Linked DNA regions of Rattus norvegicus. The protein of the gene in region 1 interacts with the protein of each later gene in a pairwise test. Links are inferred from orthologs where the notes say so. Each region holds a gene or a part of one and is shown on either strand. Other genes may lie near its edges.

Region 1 (10,585 bases):
ACACAGCCTTCCTTACACCCTGGAGCCCCGTTCCCACCCTCTACCTAATGCCACCTGGCCTCATGTCCTTGCCACCTTCCATAATGGCAGTCCCTCATAGGCTCTGATATCTTCCTTGGCTATTCTCTTCCCTGTACCAGGTGCAGAGCTCTCACTCAATAAATATTTGCCCCTCTCCCCCGCCCCTTTCTGGGATATGTCCCTGGCTGACAGTCTCCCTGTGTGCCTCTAGGCAGCTCCAGAGGGCCCCAGCTTTTACCACCTACCCCAGCTGTCTGTCCTGTCTTATTTATTACTTGGTCGTTTATCTACTTCTCACTCTGTTTTGTTCTGTTCTTGCTTACTTGCCTTCATATCTTTATGTTAGTTTATGTGCACCAGTGTTTTCCTTGCATGTCTGTCTGTGAACCACATGTGTGCAGTGCCTGTGCAGGGTAGAAGAGGGCATCAGATTCCCCAGAAACTAGGATTCTGGGACTTGAACCCGGTTCCTCCTAAAGAGCAGCCAATGCTGGGGCTGGGGATTTAGCTCAGTGGTAGAGCGCTTACCTAGGAAGCGCAAGGCCCTGGGTTCGGTCCACAGCTCCGGAAAAAAAAGAACAAAAAAAAAAAAAAAAAGAGCAGCCAATGCTCTCAACAGGTGGGCCATCAGTCCAGCCTGTCTGCTTCTTAAAGATAAGGTCTCTCACTGACTCTCTGAAGCCCATCGACTCTCGTAGGCTGACTGTCGAGTCAGCTACTGGAACCCACCAGTCCCTGCTTTTCCAGCGCTGGCTGAGATTACAAGCACAGACGCTGGGGTTCCAAACTCAAGCTCACACAGCCAGCACTTCGACCAACTGAATGAGCTTCCAGCCCTTCAGGTAGGGGACACTCGGGCCATTCCAACCAGCAGATTCTCTCTTGATTCCCACTTATGAGCATCTACTTCACTGTCTTCCTGAGGTAGAAAACAGGCACATGAAAGATCTCTGTGTCCCCACCCTCACCCCCAGGGCATTCACTGTACCAATCTGCTGAGGAGAACCCCCTCCTTCACTGCCTCAGCATCCTTTTCTAAGGACCTTGTACATGCTAGGGACACAGCCAGAGTGGTCAGCAATCGCATTCCTAGACAAGCCCAAGTGCTGGGATTTAAGGAGTGAGCCCCCCCCATCCAAACTCCATGGTTCCTATTGCTGACAGAAACAAGTCAGAGGGAAAGATGTCTATTTTCATGGGGCTGAACTTCTAGGGAGAGGCTGGTCAGTGAGTGCAGCATGGAACATTCTAGAATATGATTAGGAAGCTCCCATCACTTTCTTGCTCAACCATCTTCCTCAGCTCTCTATTGTTCCTTTAGACACTGTAATACCATCTCCACCCAATCCACACATGCACACCTATTGGCAGCAGCAACTATTCTGTCTGTCTCATAAGCCATGACCGTCACACCGGCTTCCTTTCCTTTCTCTCTGTGTAGCCAAGGTTGACCTTGAGCTCCTGATCTCCCTCCACTTCCTGAGTGCCGGGATCACAGGTTGCACCATCATGCTTACTTAGTGCTGGAACTCCAGCTGCATCCTGCTGAGCCCTAGCCACGACTTCCGGTTCTTTCTTCCTTTTTCTTTTTTTTTTTTTTTTAAGGCAGGGTTTCTCTGCGTGACCCTGGTTGTCCCGAAACTCTCTCTGTAGACCAAGCTAGCCTGGGACTCAGAGATCTGCCTGCCTCCTGAGTGCTGGGGTTAAAGGCCTGTGCCACCACAGCCTAGTTCACTTTGGATTCTCTTAGCATCCTCTTTGCTACCTCCAAGCAGGCTGGAAAGCTCTGGAAGATTGCGAGGAGGGTGTAACTTCCCAGGTGGATGAAGACTGGCAGTGTCCTTCTAGATCCTGATTCTCCACCTTCCTGATGCTGCCACCCTCCTGTCGTGGTGGTGACCCCCACCCCCAACCATAAACTTATCTCTGTCGCTACTTCACAACTGCAGGTATGGATCTCAGCGTAGATAACCATGCTTTCCGGTTGTCTTAGGCAAGCCCTGTGAAGGGATCTTCAATTCCCAAAGGGAAATTGAACCTCGGATTGAGAACCGCTATACTGTAATAAGGACAGGAAGCCAAGGGGCACAAAGCGATGTGCTCCGGATGAACTGAAGGGCACACAGCAACTGCAGCTCTGCCTGTCTCACCTTGATCAAGGTGTATGCCCCCAGGAGGTTCTCCTCCAGCAGCTGGCGGAAGCCCTGGGCAGAGGTCTCCTCTGGCAACTGTGCAGGTGGGTCTAAAGAGAAGAAGAGGATGAGGCCGGGGCAGGAAGGTGGGAGGGAGGAAGGGAGGGAGGGCAGGGACGATGGGGTCGGAGAGGAGGCCAAGGGTGAGGGAGAAAGCTAAGGATGGCGGCCACACAGTGCTGAGTGCAGCTGAATGCTGACTGCAGAACGGGGTAAGCTAGCCAGTGCCTGTCATTCTAGGGCTCATGGGGGATTGTGGGTAAGTGCTCTGCAGCCAGACCTCAGCTGGTCTCTGTTCTCCTCACTGTGGAATGCGAATTTCCCTGCTTAGATACCACTCCCCACAAGGGAATTTGGTAGGTGTTGTCAACATCAGCCTAAGGAAAGAAGGACCCAGGTAAGGATGAGCGACCAGCAACCCTGAGTCCTTACTGTGATGTGAAGTAAAGCAGCTAAGACTGGGAGCCCAGCTGGCCGGGGACAGTCCTCTGACCCCAACTTTGGAAGATATTCAAGAGGGCCCCGGTGGGTGTTCCCTGAGCCCTTGTTGCCATGGGGACACATTGTTCTCTGGTGCAGCTGTTGGGCTGATGAAAATTTCCCAGAGTGCCACACTACCTAGTGTCTGATAAAGCGTGTCTGGGTTGTCCTTGTCACCAACAAGGCCCAGGGCCACCAGCCATCAGCAAGGCAGGAGCTCCCCCAGGCTCTGGGACTATCGTGAAGGACAGTATAACCTCCTGTGACAAGCACACAGCAAAGAAAGTGAGACTGAGGCCGGGCTGAGCTCTGTGTTAAGGAAGGCTGCAGAGAGATGGTTCAGTGGTTTAGAGCATGGCTGCTGGTCCAGAGAACTAGGTTCAACTCCCAGCACCCACATGGTGGCTCAGAACTGCCTGTAACTCCAGTTGCAGGGGATCCAACTCCTTCTGGTCTCTGTGGGCACCAGTCATGCAAGGGGAGAACAGACATACATGCAAGTGTAAACACACACACACACACACACACACACACATGTGCGCGCACGCGGGAGGCAGAGGGCTATGTGTCCTGAGGAAGGGGTAAACTGAGGTTCAGAGGAAGGATTGGGCTGTTGAAATGGCTCAACTGTACCTTTACACTTGTGCCAAGCCTGATAACCTGAACTCAATCCCACATGGCCGAAGGAGAGAACTGATTCCCTCTTGTTGCACTGAACACCAGAGAAGTACTTACTGTGCATGAGAGTGCGAGTGCTTGTGCAAGCACACGCTTACACACATGCACATCGATAGACAGATAGATAATAGATAGACAGATAGATAAATAATAGATAGATAATAGATAGATAGATAGATAGATAGATAGATAGATAGATAGGGCAATAATTTTTAAGAGAGGAATGGGGAAGAGGGTATAAGTAGATGTCAGGGACACTGGCCTCCAAACCACACAACTTACGGTAGCCGGCATTATTCACCACACAATCCAGGTGACCAAATCGAGAGACAGTCTCAGAAATCAGAGTCTGAGGAGAGAAGAAAGAGCAGGTGATGAGCTGAGAGGTGACAGCCTTGGAAAAGCCAGGAGGCCCAAGGCAAGGATGGGCTCAGCTAAGGAAGACAGGGTAGGGTGAGGTGGAAGGGGACCAGGGCCACAGAATAGGTCTAGAAAGAGAGGAGGATGCAGGAAGTCGAGGACCCAGACTAAAAGGACTGATCCACACAGCACAGTTGCCACTTGTCACAGCGTTCCTATTGCTGTGATAAGCACCATGACCAAAAGCAACCTGGAGAGGAGATGATTAATGTCTGCCTACAGCTCCCAGGTCATATCTATCACTGAGGGAAGCCAGGACAGGGACTCAGAGCAGAAGCTCAAGGCTGGGACTGAAGCAGAGGCTGTGGACGAACACTGTTCGCTGGCTTGTTCCCATGCCTCGTCCAGCCCCTTTTCTTAGACTATCCAGGACCACCTGCCCTGCAATGTCACAACCCCCAGGGAGCTGGGGAAACTCCCACATCAACCACTAATTAATTAAGTGACCAACAGGCTTGCCCACATGCCAATTTGGTGGGGCCATTTTCTAGTGAGATTCCCTCTTCCCAATGACTCTAGCTTGTGTCCAGTCGATTTAACACTAACCAGCACACCATTTTAGAAGACTTCGGAGGGGTGTGTGTGCAGAAGACAGAGCCTCAGAAGGAGAGTCTACAGACCCGAGTGCAGTGGGGAGCAGAGAGACAAAGAAAGACAGAGGCCCAGATAGGAGCTAGACCTGGAAACACATAAGAGATTCTGAGTGCCAGGAAGTCAGAAACTTGTTACAGGAGCCAAGAGTTCAAGTCCTGATCATTCCTAAAGACCTGAGAGAGAAGAGGGCAGAAGGACGGAGGTGACAAGGGCATGGATACCCAGAGGGACTGGCGATGGAGTGTGGGACAGAAAACACTGACCTGTAAATCTCCTTCCTGAGTCACGTCACCGGGGATGAAGACAGTGCCCAAGAGTTCCTGCTCCACAGCCCGGCCCCCAGCCTCTGCAAGAGAAAGATTCTGGGTCCGAGGGAGGAGGCTTAGGAATGTGGGTCTGAGGGAGGAGAGCTATGCAGAGATCATTGATGAGGCAAGGGAGAGATGAACACTGATTCACTCACCATCCTTGTCACAGAAAACCACTTGAGCCCCACTGTCCACTGCCAACAGAAAGAGAACGATGTTACCTGCCCTGCAGACTTGCGTCACTGCCTCTGCTGCCCTCTTGTGGCCACCAGAGCACCTGCCTCTCTGGCGGCTCTCGTGATTGTCTCTCTCACAAGATTGTCTCCACTCACAAGAGCAACAAATTACCCTTCCTCATTAAGCCACTGCTTGGCCCCCATCCTGGATTCTAGAAAAATCCAAAACCTACAAACAATAAAACACACAAAGCTATCATTTGCAGCTAGGGACCCATCTGGGGAAGAACTTTTTTTTTTTTTTTTTTTTTTTTTTGGATTTTTGAGATAGAGTTGCTCTGTGTAGCCCTGGCTGTCCTGGAACTCACTCTCCTGGCTGGCCTCAAACTCAGAGATCCACCTGCCTCTGCCTCCCAAGTGCTGGGATTGTAGGCATATACCACCACTGCCAGGCCAGTGGAAGAACTTTTAATGACCGACCTATCAACAAAGACCCAACAATCCAAATGGATTCATGTAAGAATGAAACGGAGGGACCAGAGAAATGGCTCAGCGGTTAAGAGCACTGGCTGCTTTTCCAAAGGACACAGGTTCAGTTCCCACCGTCCACATGGCAGCTCACAACTGTTTATAACTCCGGTTAGGAGGGATCTGACAACCTCACCCAGGTACAACGACAACGCACAGAGAAAATTAAAAACAAACAAATCATTAAAGAAATGAACCTGAGTCTCCTCCTCCCACTGTGGGAGCCTCTGCCAGCCGCTCTTTCTCTCCTACAATTCAGGCAGCAGGCGGGAAGACCCTTACTCACCGAAGGCTCTCACGATCGCAGCCCCGATGCCCCGACTGCCCCCAGTCACCACCACCACCTTCCCAGAATATCGGCCTACTGCAGCCATTCCCAGCTATCTCGCTCGTGTCCCACACCCTCTGGGCCTCTTCCCACCTTTAAAGTCCAGAGAAGCGGGGGAGTGGAACCAGATATACAGGCTGGGTCACTGAAGGCTGACCCTGGCAGGGGGAGTTCCCAGGAAGGCACACCTAGGAGAACTGAGGACTCTCCTTCCTAGCCCTCTTTCTCAGACCCAGGGTCCCCACCCGTGATGATCCTCCTTCAGACCCAGGGATCCCCATCCTGACACTCCTCTTCCAGGCTCAGGGACCCCCACCCCAGCTCTGCCCCCTCAGACTGACTCTAGCCCTGCTCCCTTTGACTTGTAAGACCAGCACCACTTCTGCCTTGACTCAGGATCCAGACTCCAACCTCCTCCCTCAGACCCATATTTTAAGATGTAGCCCCCCAATGTCCTGTGAATCCAAGGCCCTGACGCTTGTTTGTCAGAACACAATGTCACAACCACAGAGAGAATAAAGCTATTTATTGACTAGTTCAAAGTTTTAATCCAAGTTCGGACAGTGTTGGGATAATCAATCTTTGACCATCATAGCCCCGGCCCTCCTAGAACACAGGCTGAAATGAACCTCTCCCCTGTGGTCCTGAATGGTCCCACACCTCAAGGTTGTGCTTCCAGCCTTTAGCACCCAGTGCAAAGGCAGGAGTCAAAAGCTGGACTGCAGCAGAGTGACTCTCAGGGGCCATGCCCCCTCTTCCTGGGCCAGAGCTGGAGGGGCCTTCCCAGGGTCCCACCTGGGCTCCCACGGAGCCAGGCCTCTCCCACTCCCTTGGCATGAGAACCCTGTGGTAGCCGAGTTAGCCTTGTGAGAAGTTGGGGACGAGGTGACCTGGGGCAGCTCTTCACTGGGAGGCTGTGGACTTGGCTGGAGACAGTCTCCCCTGGTGTCCAAATTTCTCTCTGGAGAGGCTAAACGGAGAATGAGAAAAGTGTTAACTTAAACGTGTAAAGTCCAAACTTCCAGGCCTCCTTCCTCAGATGCGGGGGTTCAGAGCCTGGGCACCTCACCTGTCATCAGCCTGTGCCACTGGGAAGCCTCTGTAGCAAGAGCTTGGGAGAGGCTGAGCACTCGTTCCCGGTGGCCTCCAGACACGGGTGAGTAGGTTGTGGAGTGCCTAGGACTACAGAAAATAAGCCACGTGTCAAACAGGCCACCGAGGCTCCCGGGGAGTTCTTCCTAGCTTTTATCTAGAGGACGTTAAGCACAGGCTTTGTTACCAGTAGACCAGCAGGGAGGTCACCATTACTGGATGAACAGCTGGATCTGATTCAGGCCACAAGAGCTCTGCAGTCTCTGACCCACCACCAGGGGCTTCCTGGCTTTTTTGTAGTTACCTCGGGAACTCAAGGGACTCAGAAGTTCTGGGGACTTGTTTGGTACACAGGAAACTATAATAACACCACTGCTCCCCTGTCTGCATCAAGAATTGACCCCCCCACCCCATTGCAGCTCCCACTCTAGATCCATACCTACTCCATGACCCGGAACTCCTGAGCCATTTCGCAGCTCCTACAATAGGCTGGAAAGGAATTATTGGTTACAATTCTTGTCATGGAGAATGGTCACAAGTTCAAGGGCAGCCTTGATGGAAAGAACAGAGGAGAGCGGGGTAGGGAAAGGAAGGGAGAGGGCAAGAAAAGAAAGAAAGGGGCTATGGGTGGGGAGGATAGATTTTGCCATTGAAGCCCGTTTTCTCTCCATCCCTTTCTCCTTGGCCCCCTTCTCCCCACCAACCTACATGCAGATACTAGGAAGTTCAGAGGACAACAGGAAGTGCCCCCCACCAATCCTCTGCTCTCAGCAAGTCGGCCAGACTAGCTGACCCCTGAGCTTCCAGGGATTCACTATCTCCATTCTCTGACTCAGTGCCTTGGGGATCACAGACATTCACTGACAGCCGAGTCTTTATACATGGGTTCTGAAACCCCCAAGCCTATCCCTGAGCACCTCCTGGGTCCCCCCACTGCTCCCAGCCAGGTTCTTATGACATTCAGATTGCCTTCTGACTCGTTATATGGGTGCAGATGGCCTCCGTCTCCTCAGTATCAGGAGCTGGGCAGCAGCTCCACTGGCCTCCTACTTATGTTTATGGTGATGTTAGGGGGACTGGGAGTGAAGTAGCCTTGGAGAACATCAGGCTCGCAAAGTCAAGTCCACGTCTACAGCTTGTTGTCTACTTCCCTACAAAGGCTTCTCTGACTTGGATATAAATATCTCCCAAAGGTTTATGTGTCACAAGGTTTGGTCGCCAGCCCTTGATGCTGCCGAGATGTGACTGGACTGTGACGGTGTTTGTCTGACCAATGAATTAACCAACAGGTGAGTGACAGGACACTGGCCTGGACTATTAGGCCTGACTCCCAGGTCTGAGTCAGGCTACGTCTCCCTGAAGTTCATGATTCAGTAGTCAGTGCAGTGTCTTGACAGCTTACAACGCATGGTACCTGGCTTCCCCATCCTCCTTGTCACATGGGCTACACGGATCTAAATCACTCTGCCCAATCTGAAATTTTCCATCTGAAATTTTCCATAGGCTCTCCACAGCCATAACATGTCAGACCTTTGCTTTGTTGGGGAAAAAAAAAAAAAAGAGTCTGAGATTCCTCAATGGGACCCACTCTGAGAGGTGCTCTGAGGCTGCTCTCGGAAGGGCTCCTCTGGCCAGCCTCCCGTCATTCCTCTCAGGGTGCCTCTCTCCCTCCCTTTCTCTCTCTCTTAATGAAGTCTTGCCTTCCCTCTAAGGCCCCACCATGGTTAGGTCCACACATGGCCTCGAGGCTCTTTCCCTATCAACTTCATTGATGAGGTTATTAATAGACGTTTTCTCTCCCTCAGTCATGTGGATACAGGCCAGATTAGACCAGATTAAAAGCAGGCAAAGTGAGTTCAAATCCCAGAAACCACATGGTGGCTCACAACCATCTGTAATGGGACCCGATGCCCTCTTCCGGTGTGTCTGAAGGCAGCTACAGTGTACTCATAACAAATAAATAAATAAATAAATAAATAAATAAATAAATAAATAAATAAATCTTTAAAAAAAAAAAGTAGGCAAAGGCAGGTTTATGAGGAGGCAGCTCTGGGGATGGGTTCAGCGACCTCACGGTGAAGGTCAGTGACATCACACATCCAGGTTAAAGCAATGGGAGTTTTATAGAGCTTAGGCAAGGAGTGAGACGTGCCAGCTTGGAGCTGGGATTGTGCCCATACATGGTCAAAAACTGAGCCCCTGGGCGGGCGCTCGTGGGTGTGTGGCCAGAAACGTGGCAAGGAGAAGTGAGGATATGTTAGCCCGGAGTTTTCTCTGCATGGGTGGGGTTGGGGGAGAGGAGGGCAATTCGGGTTTCCCAACTTGTGCAGGGGAACAATTGTCCAGCCTAACAATTAATGTCAGCTTCCTCCAGGACCAGGCAGCCCTCTCTCTGATGTCATTACAACAAGAGTTCACAGGTCACTGTGCCGTTAGGAAGCAGGGCCTAGCTGGAGAAGAGGGTGTGGTCAGGAAAGGTTTTATATACATATTCAGTCTGTCTGTCTCCCCCCCCCTCCCCCCTAGATCTCAGGCTTTCGTTTGGCAAAGCAGGTTCGACGGGGAGCTTGGAAGAGAGAGCTTCAGGGAGGCACGGCCTCTTTCAAGTACAACTAAGAAAGCCTAAGTTCCAACGGGAAACAGGGAGATGCCTGTTCCCTCCTGGTTGGTGGCCGAACGGAAACATTCCTGGAAGAGAGGGGAGAAGCCTGAGACTGAGGCGAAACACAGACTTCCCCCACTGAACACTGCGGAAGCAGCAAACACAGCTGCAAGAATGGACTGACAGGCCAAGCTACAGAGGGCTCTCTCCGAACCACTGAGCTGCAGTTCTGCAGACAGCTACACCACCGCAGCCTCCATGAGCTGCCACTCATCCCAGGAAGGGCTTCTTGGTGGTGCAGCTACTTTTAGGTCATCCCTGGAAGTAACCTCTCACACAGAGCCCTGTTAGTGACTCCCCAAAAACCTCACTGGTTCGCCAAGGTGGACTTGGGCGCAATCATTTTTGTAGTCCGTAGTGTGCTGTATCTCCTCAGGAAAAGTTTCTCACACAATACCTCCTTGCCTAATTCTGTCCCGTAACTGCAGGAGGAACAGGGCCAGCGGACATAAGTTTGCAACAAGGAAGTGGGACACAATTCCATTTCAGAAAGGAGGGCAGGGATTGGGGCTGAGGCTGAAGAATAGAGAGCTTGCCAGGCATGCGCAAAGCTCTAGGTCCCACCCACCAGCACTGTTTAAACCAGGTGAGAGACAAGCTTGTAATCACGACACAGTCCTTCTGGAAGATCCGGAGTCCAAGCCCAGCCTTGACTCTGTAGCTAGGTCAGGGCTAGCCTGGGATACATGAAACCTGGCCTCAAAAAGAAAGAGAGAGAGAGAGAGAGAGAGAGAGAGAGAGAGAGAGAGAGAGAGAGAGCGAGCGCAAGCAGGCAGAACATCCCCTCCCATCGTGCTCCCCAACCCAAGACCCCACTCTCCTCACCCTCTGCTCCATGTCAGGCTGGCGTGGAACTGGGGATAGTGTCCTTCCCAGGGTCAGGAGCCTTGGGGAGGTAGGGCGAGGAAGAGAGAGCCCACATGCTTGGTTTCTACGCATGCGCTCCAGCTGCTCCTGAGCGCTCATCCTAGGCCGCGCCAGCGGGGCCTGCGAAGAGACAGACCAAAAGTCTAATCCAACAGCCTGGCACTTTACAGAGCATTTGTCACAGAGGGGACCTCTGTACACCAGGGGTCTGCTGCATCCCCTCCCTGGCCCTGAGGACA
Region 2 (10,538 bases), on another chromosome or scaffold:
CACATATTTAAAATGGAGTGGTCGGCCCGCTGCAGCAAAATGTTATACTTAGCACGTTCAGATGCTGCCTGGGTGCGGGCATGCTTACCAGGTGGAGGAGTCCGTGTGGCACCCATCCTGATCTAAGCAAAACTTTCTTTTGTGTATGTGAGAGTAAGGCTAGAAACCAGGGCTTTACGCACGGTTAAGTAGGAGCTCTAACATCCAGCCACATCTGGAATTCTAGGCAGTAGTTCTACTTTTGAGCCACGTCCCAAGCCTACAAGCCCTAGTAAGCATTGTGAAGTATTTCCAGGGGTGATTCTGTGTCGGGACCCAGGATAGATTTTTGTGGGTGTTGGAACTCTCTCCTCCTTTTCCCTCTCAGCTCTCAGATGGTCCCTGCTCTTTTTTTTCCCTGCAGATTATCAACTTCGGACCAGCTAGAAGGGAGAAGTGAGGCTTCCATCACCCCAGATACCAGCCGCAGACTTTAAAGAGCTGTGTGTGTGTGTGTGTGTGTGTGTGTGTGTGTGTGTCTGCACATTCAGGGTTAGGCACTGACTTAACACATCCTGGCTGCCTGCACCTAACCCCCTTCACCTCTCAACTGTCTGGGGTGGTTTCTCTGTGTCCCTCGCCCCTGGAGCTGTCCCACACTGATTTTATATGAAGAAATATAAGAGGGCCTGGACCGCGCTACCCCTCCCCCACGAGTGCCTTCTTGCAGTGAACTGCCGGGCAGATCTAGGGCCCACCTTTTATAGCTGCTGAGCCGAGGCCGCTGGCCCTCCACCTGGGTTTTAGGGTGTCATTAAAATGAGTCTAACAACTGTGACTGTGCTTCTTCACTAGGGACTGGGAATGACTGGAAGGGCTCGTGTGGGAGCATCCATTGGTTGCTTGTCAATCTTTTCTGTTCAGGTTCCTCCACAGCCCTCCCTTGTTCCCTGTCACTGTCTGATCCTCTTTGCAGCCGTGGCAGTTGCTATAAAATCTATCAGTCCATCATTGCCCTGCTTAATCCTGGTGGCCATAAAAATTTATGCAGTTCCAGGTCTGTCTACTCCACTGCACTACCCCTGCCTACCTTCCTGCCCTCCCAGGCTCCCGTTCTGTACTGCACTCAATACTTTCGAGCCTCAGGCCCTTTGTACATGCAGCAACTGCCTATTTTATAGTGTCTTTCTTTCGTTCTGATTTTTATTTCTTAAGATAGGGCTTGGCTGTCCTTTAACTTTCAGCCTTCCTCTGGCCTCTGCCTTCCACACGTAGGTGGGTGGCAGGCATGAGGCCCATGACCAGCTGTGTTCTCCAGTTTTGCTTTTAGTTGTGAGACAAGGTCTCTTGTAACCCAGGCTGGTTTCAGGCTTCACCAGTAGCAATGAAGCCTCTGCTTCTAAGAGCTGGGATTACTGACATGCACAACATCTCCAACTTTGTCTGGCTTCAGGAAAATATTTTAAATATTTTCCTCTGTGTGTGTGTGTGTGTGTGTGTGTGTGTGTGTGTGTGTGTGTATACCTATATGTGGGTGTGCAGAGGTCTGTGTTGGCGTCCGCAGAGGCCAGAGGCTTCAGATTCTCCTGGAACTGCAGTCACAGGCAGCTGTATGCTGCCTGGTGTGGGTGCTAGGATCCAAGCTTGAGTCCTATGGAAGAGCAATATGTCTTTTAATGAATAAGGCTTGTCTTCTGTCATGTTTTAGTTTTACTTTTTTTTCTCTCTTTTTTTTTTTTTTTTCTTTTCGGAGCTGGGGACCGAACCCAGGGCCTTGCGCTTGTTAGGCAAGCGCTCTACCACTGAGCTAAATCCCCAACCCCTTTTTACTTTTTTTTTTTTTTTTTTTTTTTTTTGGTTCTTTTTTTTCCGGAGCTGGGGACCGAACCCAGGGCCTTGTGCTTCCTAGGTAAGCGCTCTACCACTGAGCTAAATCCCCAGCCCCCTTTTTTTTTTTTTTTTTTTTAAAGACACAGATCCTTACTGTGTAGTCCTGATTGTCCTGGAACTTACAATGTAGACCAGACTGGCCTTGAACTCCACCTGCCTCTGCCTCTGAATGCTGGGATTAAAGATGTCTACCACCACACTTGGGATTATATTTGAGAGTTTTGAAAACTGGCCATTTAGCCCAGGCTGGCCTACAACTTCATTCTCCTGCCTCAGACTCCTGAGTGTCAAGATTACAGGGTTTAATGGCCCTCTTTGTCACCTCCACATCATTAACTACTCTGAAAAAAATTCACTGACATCTTCTGGTCTGACTGTGGGTGTCTGATGGGTTCAGTGTATAGCCATCTCGGGAGCTGCATGTGTGGGCTGAAAGAACAAGGCCATTTCAGGACCTTCTCAGTGAAACTCACCTCCCAGAACCACATGACACACCTGGTCAGGCCAACTCTGTTCAACAAGAACTGCTTAACCTGAGAAAGACCATGATTCTTTTCTCAGCGACTAAAATTACTAGGTTTAGTCTATTTTTGGAGGAAGGGATCATTTTTGTTTTCTAGTCAGAAAGTCTCTGTGTAGCCCTGACCATGCTGGAACTCACTCTGTAGATCAGGCTTGCATTCAACTCAAAGATTTGTCTGCCTCTGCCTCCTTACTTCTGGGGTTAAAGCATGCACCAACCCCCTCCTCCCCACTCCAGGGAGCTTTAGCTTATTTATTTATTTATTTATTTATTTATTTATTTTTTGGTTCTTTTTTTCGGAGCTGGGGACCGAACCCAGGGCCTTGCGCTTCCTAGACAAGCGCTCTACCACTGAGCTAAATCCCCAACCCCTTTAGTCTATTTTTGTGTGTGGTATTTACTGTCCAAGAAAGGTGGACCTGATGGCACAGACCTGTAATCCCAGCACTCAAGAGATAAAGGCAGCATGATCGGGAGTTTGAGATTAGTCTGGATTTAGTGAATTCGATACCAGCCTAGGCCATAAAAGACCTTGTCTCAATAAAAAAAAGTTATAGATCAGTTAGGAGAGTGATTTCATCAAGTCCATGATGCCCTGGGTTCCATGTCCAGCGCTACGTGGACTGTGGCTATAGTAGCACTTGGAAGTGGCATTCAAGAGGCTCAGGTGTCATGCTTGGCTACATGCAGATTTGGAGGCCAGCCTGGGCTACATGAAACCCTTTAAAAAAAAAAAAAGACTTTAAAAGAAAATTACCAGGCTGGAAAGATGATGTGGTTCAACAGTTAAGAGCACTGGCTGCTTGCTCTTCCAAAGGACCTGGGTTTAATTCCCAGCACTAACATGGCAGCTCACAACTATCTGAGGTACTGGTTTTAGATATGACACCCTGACACAAACATGCATGCAGGCAAAATACCAATGCACATACAAGATAAAAAGGAAAAAAGAAAACTGCCAGATTTAATGGTACACACCTTTGATCCCATGGCTTTGGGAGGCAAAGGCAGGCAGATGAACAGCCTGGCCAACATAGTGAGTTCCAGGACAGTCAGAGCTACATAGTAAGACCCTATCTTGAAAAAACTTAGAGGGCTCGAGAAATGGCTCAGAGGTTAATAGCAGTGACTACTCTTCCAGAGATCCTGCGTTCAATTCCCTACAACCACATGGTGGCTCACAACCATCTGTAATGGGATCTGATGCCCCTTTCTGGTGTGTCTGAAGACACAGATAGTGTCTTTTATATATATATGAGTATATATAATAAATAAATCTTTAAAAAACGTAGAGAAAAAATTTAAAAGAGAATTATTAGAATATGTGGGTGTTTGTCTATATATGCACCATGTTGGTATAGGTCAGAAGAGGTTGTTGGATCCCTAGAGCTGGAGTTAATGATGGCTAAGCTGTCACGTGGTATGGGTGCTGAAACTGAATCCTTGATCCTCTACAAGAGAAGCCACTGATCCGTCTTTCAGTCTGTAAGATTCTTTCTCAAAAAATTAAAATAAAATAATAGAAGAGACCAGCTTGGTAGCCCATTCCTTTAATTCCATCACGAATAGCAGACACAGGTGAATAGTCCAGACAGAGCTACACGGTGAGCTCCAATCAAGGCTACACAGACAGAACCTGTCACAGAAACATAAAATAAACAAACAAAAATGTTAGAAGGCGCGCACTTTACCGCCCAGAAGCCATTCCTTCAACACAGCAGTCGAATGAATGAACTAAGCTCCCGGTCGCACAGTAAGTGCTTTTTAGGACTTCCGTGGTACATGAATGAATAGAATGTTCCAGTAGTAGGAGTTTCCAGTCTTGCCTCCCTCCCTCCCTCCCTCCCGGAGGCGCTAAAGATCCAGGATCCGCCTGCGCCAGCCTGTCTCCAAACTCTCTGCTGGAGTCAGTTAAACCTCCCTCTCTTTCCCGCCTGCCCGCCTGTTGGTTTTGAAAAACCAAAAACCCAGCTGTGGCGGGCAGCTCCACCGGTTGCCGCTCGCTGACCAATCAGGAGCCGCACCACCCCTACGGGTGAGGCAAACCTCCCCGGCAACGCATGCTGATTGGCTGATATTCCCAGTAGGCGGAACTTCTGGAGGTCGGGCGCTGGGCAAAGCGGCTCGCGCTACTCTGTTGCGAGTTTGTAAGAAAACAAGGGCGCTCTGGGCGGGGCCTGGGGCGGGCTTGCCTCGCCCACTAGCGGCTGACTCTAGCAGGCTGTGTGTAGCGCCGGCTCAGAGCCGACCCCGCCCGCGCAAGGAGAGGGAGGGTGAGTCTGGGGAGACCCGGCCCAAGGGGCGGGCGCCGAAGGGCTGGGCGGGGTTCCCTGAAGCCTCTCTGGGTGACAGGGGGAGGAGTTGCCTGCCAGAGCGAGGGTCGTACAGGCAGAAGGCGCCGGGTCTGCGGCCGGGGAATAACCATAGAGTTGGCCTTGGTGGCACCGCAACCCCTGAGAACCGAAATCTGATCCAGCCCTTGCTGGTCCCCAGCCCTGACCTGAACTGGGCTTGGGGCTGGGTGGGTTTCACAGACCACCGGTAGCCACTATGCTTCTGGAAGAAGTCAGCGTCGGCGACCGGTTGAGTGGCGCAGCGGCCCGTGGCGACGTGCAAGAGGTGCGCCGCCTTCTGCACCGGGAGCTGGTGCATCCTGACGCCCTGAACCGCTTTGGCAAGACGGCCTTGCAGGTGAGGCCTGGCTGGCACCCGGCTTCCACACCCCATCCCTCCAAGTCTCCTGGCCCGGGTTGGTGATCCCCTAAGGTCTAATCCTTGCTTGAACCAATGTTGGGTGGGTGGTGAGGGCGGGATGGGGGAGGGGATGGCGTTTCAGCTCTAAAGAATTCCTTGTCTAATAGCCTGGAAGATTCCGTTTCTCTGCAGACCTTTATTCCGTGGGTGAGTTGGGGTTCAGCTTCTTTTCGTGCGCGTCCTTGAGGACAGCTCATATTTCTCGAGGTTTCTAAGACATTCGATCTCTGGAAGGTGGCATGCATGTCTTCTTCAGGGGAGATAGCCATTTTTTGGGTTTTTTTTTTTTTTTTTTTTGGAGTTGTCCTCTTGAAGTGTCTTTGGTTATTTCGGGGAGACTTCATTTCAGCAGATGATATGGTTTTGTTTTTTTCCTTTTTGTATTTTCTGCGTGCCTCGTGACAAAAAATGATTCCTTATTGCTTGAAGGCGCCATAATTCTGATGACATTTATAGGGGAGTCCTACCTTTTCATGGGTACTCACACATTCTGAAGATCATGCCTATGACTTAGGAAGTCATTCCACGACAACGGGGATTCAAATTGGCTAGAGCATCTAGCTTCTCAAAAATTCTATGTAGTTCCCAGAATATGGGGTTGTAGTGTGGAAGGGGCTTATAGTCTTAATGATCGCCCATATGGGAGTGCTGGGTCCCTGAAAGAGGCTTTGGACCTTTCCCGGTTCCCTCTCCCGTTCGTTCATTCTCTTTGCTTCTTCATTTTTCTTTCCTTTCTTTTCCTTTTTTTTTTTTTCCTGAGACAAAGTCTCACTCTGCATTTCAGACTGGCTTTGAACTTGTATCCTCCTGCCTGGTCCTCCAAGGTTCTGGGATTATGATAATGTGTCACTACACCTGGCCCTTTAAAGATTTCATGAGAGTCACTTTTTTTTTTCCGGGGCTGGGGACCAAACCCAGGACCTTGCGCTTCCTAGGCAAGCGCTCTACCACTGAGCCATATCCCCAACCCCGCCATGAGAGTCACTTTTATAGTTAGCGATTTTTGTGTTCTTAAGAGAACTTTGAGCTGCACAGAGGTGGCACAGGCCTTCTTTAATCCCAGCATTCAGGAGGCAGATGCAGGTGGATCTCTGTGAGTTTGAGGCCAACCTGGTCTAGAGAGAGAGTTTCCAGGACAGCCAGAAGGAAACCCTGTTTCTGGTGGGAGTGGGGGTGGGGCTTTGGAGGTGGATGGGGGTCCTTATTTTCTTTTTTTTTTTTTTTTTGGTTCTTTTTTTCGGAGCTGGGGACCGAACCCAGGGCCTTGTGCTTCCTAGGTAAGCGCTCTACCACTGAGCTAAATCCCCAGCCCCGGGGGTCCTTATTTTCAAAGAACCTGTTCTCTGGGGTCCCAGTCTGATCCCTTGGGGCCTGACTTTCCTGGAGTGTCCCTGTTCACTAAAGGATCCCTTCTCTGGCACTCTGGATTTCTGGTAGACCTCTTTATTCTACCTGACCCTTCTCCAGTGGGAACCTCCTGACTTTCTGTCCCTCATTCCCCATAGGTCATGATGTTTGGAAGTCCAGCAGTTGCTCTGGAACTCCTGAAGCAAGGCGCCAGCCCCAACGTCCAAGATGCCTCTGGTACCAGTCCAGTGCATGATGCCGCGCGCACTGGGTTCCTGGACACCCTGAAGGTTCTGGTGGAGCATGGTGCTGACGTCAACACCCTGGACAGCACCGGGTCTCTCCCCATCCACCTGGCCATCCGAGAGGGCCATAGCTCTGTGGTCAGCTTCCTAGCTCCTGAATCTGATCTCCATCACAAGGACGCCTCAGGCCTCACTCCCCTGGAGTTGGCTCGGCAGAGAGGGGCTCAGAACCTCATGGACATTCTGCAGTCGCACATGATGATCCCAATGTGACCCGGGCCACAGTCTCCCACCTTGCTGGGTTACTTGTCAACAAAGGAGGAAAGAAACTTTCTCTTTTCACTCCTGTCCATTGAAGAAGGGAGTGGGAGGAGCAGTTTGTGGTTTGTTGGTGTTGATTTCTTGAGTGTGTGTGTTTGGGGGTTGTTTCTCATTTGTTTTTCTCACCCCTTTTTGGTGTGTTGGACAAAGAAGGGGCTCCTACAGGCACCAGCCACCTAAACGGTTCAGTTTCCTCTGCACTGGGGCTGCACAGAAGACCTCAGGGCAGGGGCTTAAAGCTCTAGCCTCAAGTGAGGTCATCACCTCCTGGGCTCCTGGGAGCTGGTGACCTTGGTGCTCAGAGAGCCCTGAAGTGTGAGCCATCTACTTTGGTCATGGGAGGGGGAGGGGAAACATTTAAAATCAGTTAAAAGGATAACATGAGTTTTTTGTTTTTTTTTTTTCATGGAAGGTTTCCAGTTTTGTTGTACAGTTTGAAATATATATATTTATTGCTTTATGGAAAGAAATTGTTTTGTGTGATCATTTTATGTTTTGGCTCATTAAACTAAGACGGCGAGGATGACTTCAGATTTAGGAGTCTGGGATGGGGTATTCGGAGGGTAGGATGAGACTAGGGATGGTGTGGGGTGATGGGGCAACACGGTCATTCCCAGGGCGTCAGGGTAACTGAGTTGGGTGGGGCAGCGGTCGGGTGCTGTCGGAACGGAAGAGAGACAGGAAACCGCGAGTGGAGAAAGGGGCCCCCAGATGTCAGCTGGGTGCCGGGAGCCGTCAGGGTGGAGAAGGGTGGGCGGTGGCTTGTGGCCTTTCCCCGCAGAGGCTTGTCCGCGTGGGTGTGGCTTGCTGAGCAAAAGGCCAACGGGATCCCGGAAGAGTAGAGGGTGGAGCAAAGTGCGTCTGTAATGGACGTGCTCCTTAAAAGCCCTCAGGGGGCGTATCTAGGGGAGTCACACCCTGCAGGGGGCGGTTGCACGCGTGCGCACTAGGTCTCACAGCCGCCATGCCGGAACCGCGCGCTCCTGCGACTCTAAAGGTGAACGCAGCTTTTGCTGCACGCTACAGCCGTTACCGCGAGCGTGAGGAACTACAGCGGCGTGAGTGAGGGGCGCCTGCGCAGGCCGGGGTGTGGGAACTGGGGGGATGCGTCTGATGACGGCTATGGGGAACTGCATGTGTATTCCACAGTGAAAGATCGCTACGGAGATCGGGACGACGGCAGCGACTCCAGTTCCGAGTCTGACTCCAGCGATGAGCATGTGGTGAGCTTCCGCAGCCAAACTTCGCGTCCTATCTAGATGTGCAAGGGGCTTCCCTAACAGGGCTGGGCTGTCCCGATCCTGCAGGACCCGCCCCCAATGCTTTGAGTGACAGGCAGTACCCTCCTCAACTCAGGGATCTGGAAGAGATTCCAAGCCTCCCAACCACTGAGCTCTCACCTTGATGCACAGGGGTGCCTTACTCTATGGAGATGATCTGGATTTACCTCCTGACCCCTTAAGTGTCAGATAGCCCCTTCCAAACGGTCACTAAATTTACTTACTTTCTTTTCTTGGCCTCCAGTCTTCAACAGCACCCCAATTTAGATACAGTGGGAGTCTGACCCTAACCCTATGTCCTGCATCCAAATCCCTTGAGTGATAAACACCATTTTTCTTGTATCTAGGGATTACTAAATCCTCCCTATTTCCCCAGAAGGACAGAACGTCTTATCTTAGTCACCTATAAAAACATCCATGTCCCCACCTTGATCCATTGGGTAACAATGTCTAGGAGACACCAAGTTCTCACTCCTATCCAGATGTGGCTCCAGACTTCCATCCATTCGTAGAAGAAATCCCCACTAACCCAGTAGAGCCCTAAGGAAATTGTAAGACACTCCCCTATCCCTTGAGTGACAGGTGGTGCCCTCATCACTAGGGATTGTCATGTCCTCTCTGTCTTCACTTCATCCTCCACACTGGATACCTCACCATCCTGATTAGTGGTCACCTAGGAATCATCTCTCCATCCTTAAACCCCAGGAGTTTGACGAGGAAGTACCTACTACCCACACGGGGCTCCACTGTTTTCCTGGCCACACCTGCCCAGACACAGTGCTCCGTATGCCTCTCCTCCTCTGGTGTCCTGTTCTTCTTTCCTTCCCTCCACTCAGTCCTCAGGGTTGCTGGTCTCTGCTGCATCCTGTCCTCACTACCCTACTCACACGGTGTCCAACTTCCTTCTGAAGTTGACCCTACCTCTTTTTCCTGCTCTAGGAATTTGATCCCCAGCAGGAGAGAGACTTTTATAGAACTCTGTCCTTGTTGAAGAAGAAAGACCCTCGAATTTACCAGAAAGATGCTACCTTCTATCAGAGAACAGGTGGGGTGGGCATCTCCCTAAGTGCCTTAGTGTGGATGGAATTGAGTTGTTGAATGAATTGTTGAATTGTTTCCCTTCCCAGAGTGGCAGTGTATAACCCACAATCTTAGCACTCAGGAGGCTGATAGCTCAGGGCTCAGGGCCAGCCTGAGCTATACAATGAGATCCTGTGTCAAAAACCAAAAAGTGAGGCTGGGAATAGGGGTGAGTTGGTAAAGTGGTGGCCACGCAAAGCCGGAAGGCCTGAGCTTCGTTCTGAGAAATCACATGATGGAGTCAGGCATGGACGCACATTGTCAATGCCGGTGCTGGGGAAGACAGGCAGCTCCCTGGAGGCTCTCTGGGGTGGTGAGGCACACCTTTAATCCCAACACTCCAGAGGCAGAGGCAGGTGGGTCTCTGAGCTTGAGGCTAGCCTGGTCCACAGAGTGAGTTCCAGGCCAGAAAAGACCAGAGAGAGGGAGTCGGGTGTGGGGAGAATGAATGGATGCCGTTTGAGGGGTTGTGTGTACAAGCTGACCTCTGTCATCAACGTACACTAAAAGAAAAGCTTTCCCTATGAATCCATGAGTCTGAAGTGCTAGGTCAGAAATGCTTTTATATTCTTTGTGGTAGCTTCTCATGTAACCCAGCCTGGCCTCTAATTCACTGTGTAGTCAAGGATGTGACTAAACTTGTGGTCCCCCTGCTGGGATTTCGTTCAGTTATGTGCCGCATAAGTGAAATTGAATGGAGCCTGTGCTTGCTAGACAGACACTATCAACTTAGCTATCTCTGCACCTAAAGCTTTTGTTTGTTTAGTTGCTTTGTTTCTTTTGTACGAAGTTTTAGTATAGCCTGGGCTATATCATACTCTGTCCCTGGAAAAGTAACCAGGCAATAAGGGTGATTTACTATTTTACAATTGGAAATGGCTGGCAAGGATTCAGAACTTATGTCTGCTCCTAGCCCTGCCCTCTGAGGCGCTCTGCTGGTGAAAGGGGGAAGCTGTGGGTAACAGCAGGTGTTCTCTCACTATCCCTCAGCAGAAGCCTCCTCTTCAGAGAGTGAGGAGGAGTCAGCAGCCTTGGGAAAGCAGAAGAAAGTACAGCCCATGTACCTGAAGGACTATGAGAGGAAGGTCATCTTGGAGAAAGAAGGGTAAGGAGGGCCTC

Evidence for each region. The genes of interacting proteins can lie anywhere in the genome.
Region 2: the proteins of Hsd17b14 (region 1) and Cdkn2d interact in binary tests that used the Homo sapiens proteins (3 or more experiments, as listed by UniProt). The two-hybrid records come from large-scale screens. The link is inferred for Rattus norvegicus from reciprocal best matches to the Homo sapiens genes HSD17B14 and CDKN2D.

The regions. Positions count from the first base shown.
Region 1 is NC_086019.1:105,160,947-105,171,531, reverse strand, and holds the start of Hsd17b14 (17-beta-hydroxysteroid dehydrogenase 14), read right to left. Parts: upstream 5,838-10,585; 5' UTR 5,772-5,837; coding exon 5,684-5,771; exon of another isoform or gene 4,888-5,683; coding exon 4,849-4,887; intron 4,732-4,848; coding exon 4,649-4,731; intron 3,721-4,648; coding exon 3,654-3,720; intron 2,264-3,653; coding exon 2,172-2,263; exon of another isoform or gene 1-2,171. Other genes in the region: Plekha4 (pleckstrin homology domain-containing family A member 4), read right to left, coding at 6,433-6,695, 6,795-6,907, 7,257-7,306, 10,305-10,466. UniProt on the Homo sapiens protein: Catalyzes the NAD(+)-dependent oxidation of L-fucose, yielding L-fucono-1,5-lactone, which rapidly converts spontaneously to L-fucone-1,4-lactone. Can also act on D-arabinose and L-galactose, with lower catalytic efficiency. Does not use NADPH.
Region 2 is NC_086026.1:28,105,027-28,115,564, reverse strand, and holds Cdkn2d (cyclin-dependent kinase 4 inhibitor D), read left to right. Parts: upstream 1-4,755; 5' UTR 4,756-4,942; coding exon 4,943-5,083; intron 5,084-5,225; exon of another isoform or gene 5,226-6,423; intron 6,424-6,651; coding exon 6,652-7,011; 3' UTR 7,012-7,521; downstream 7,522-10,538. Other genes in the region: Ap1m2 (AP-1 complex subunit mu-2), read left to right, coding at 404-426; protein KRI1 homolog, read left to right, coding at 8,024-8,117, 8,209-8,282, 9,279-9,384, 10,410-10,524. UniProt on the Homo sapiens protein: Interacts strongly with CDK4 and CDK6 and inhibits them.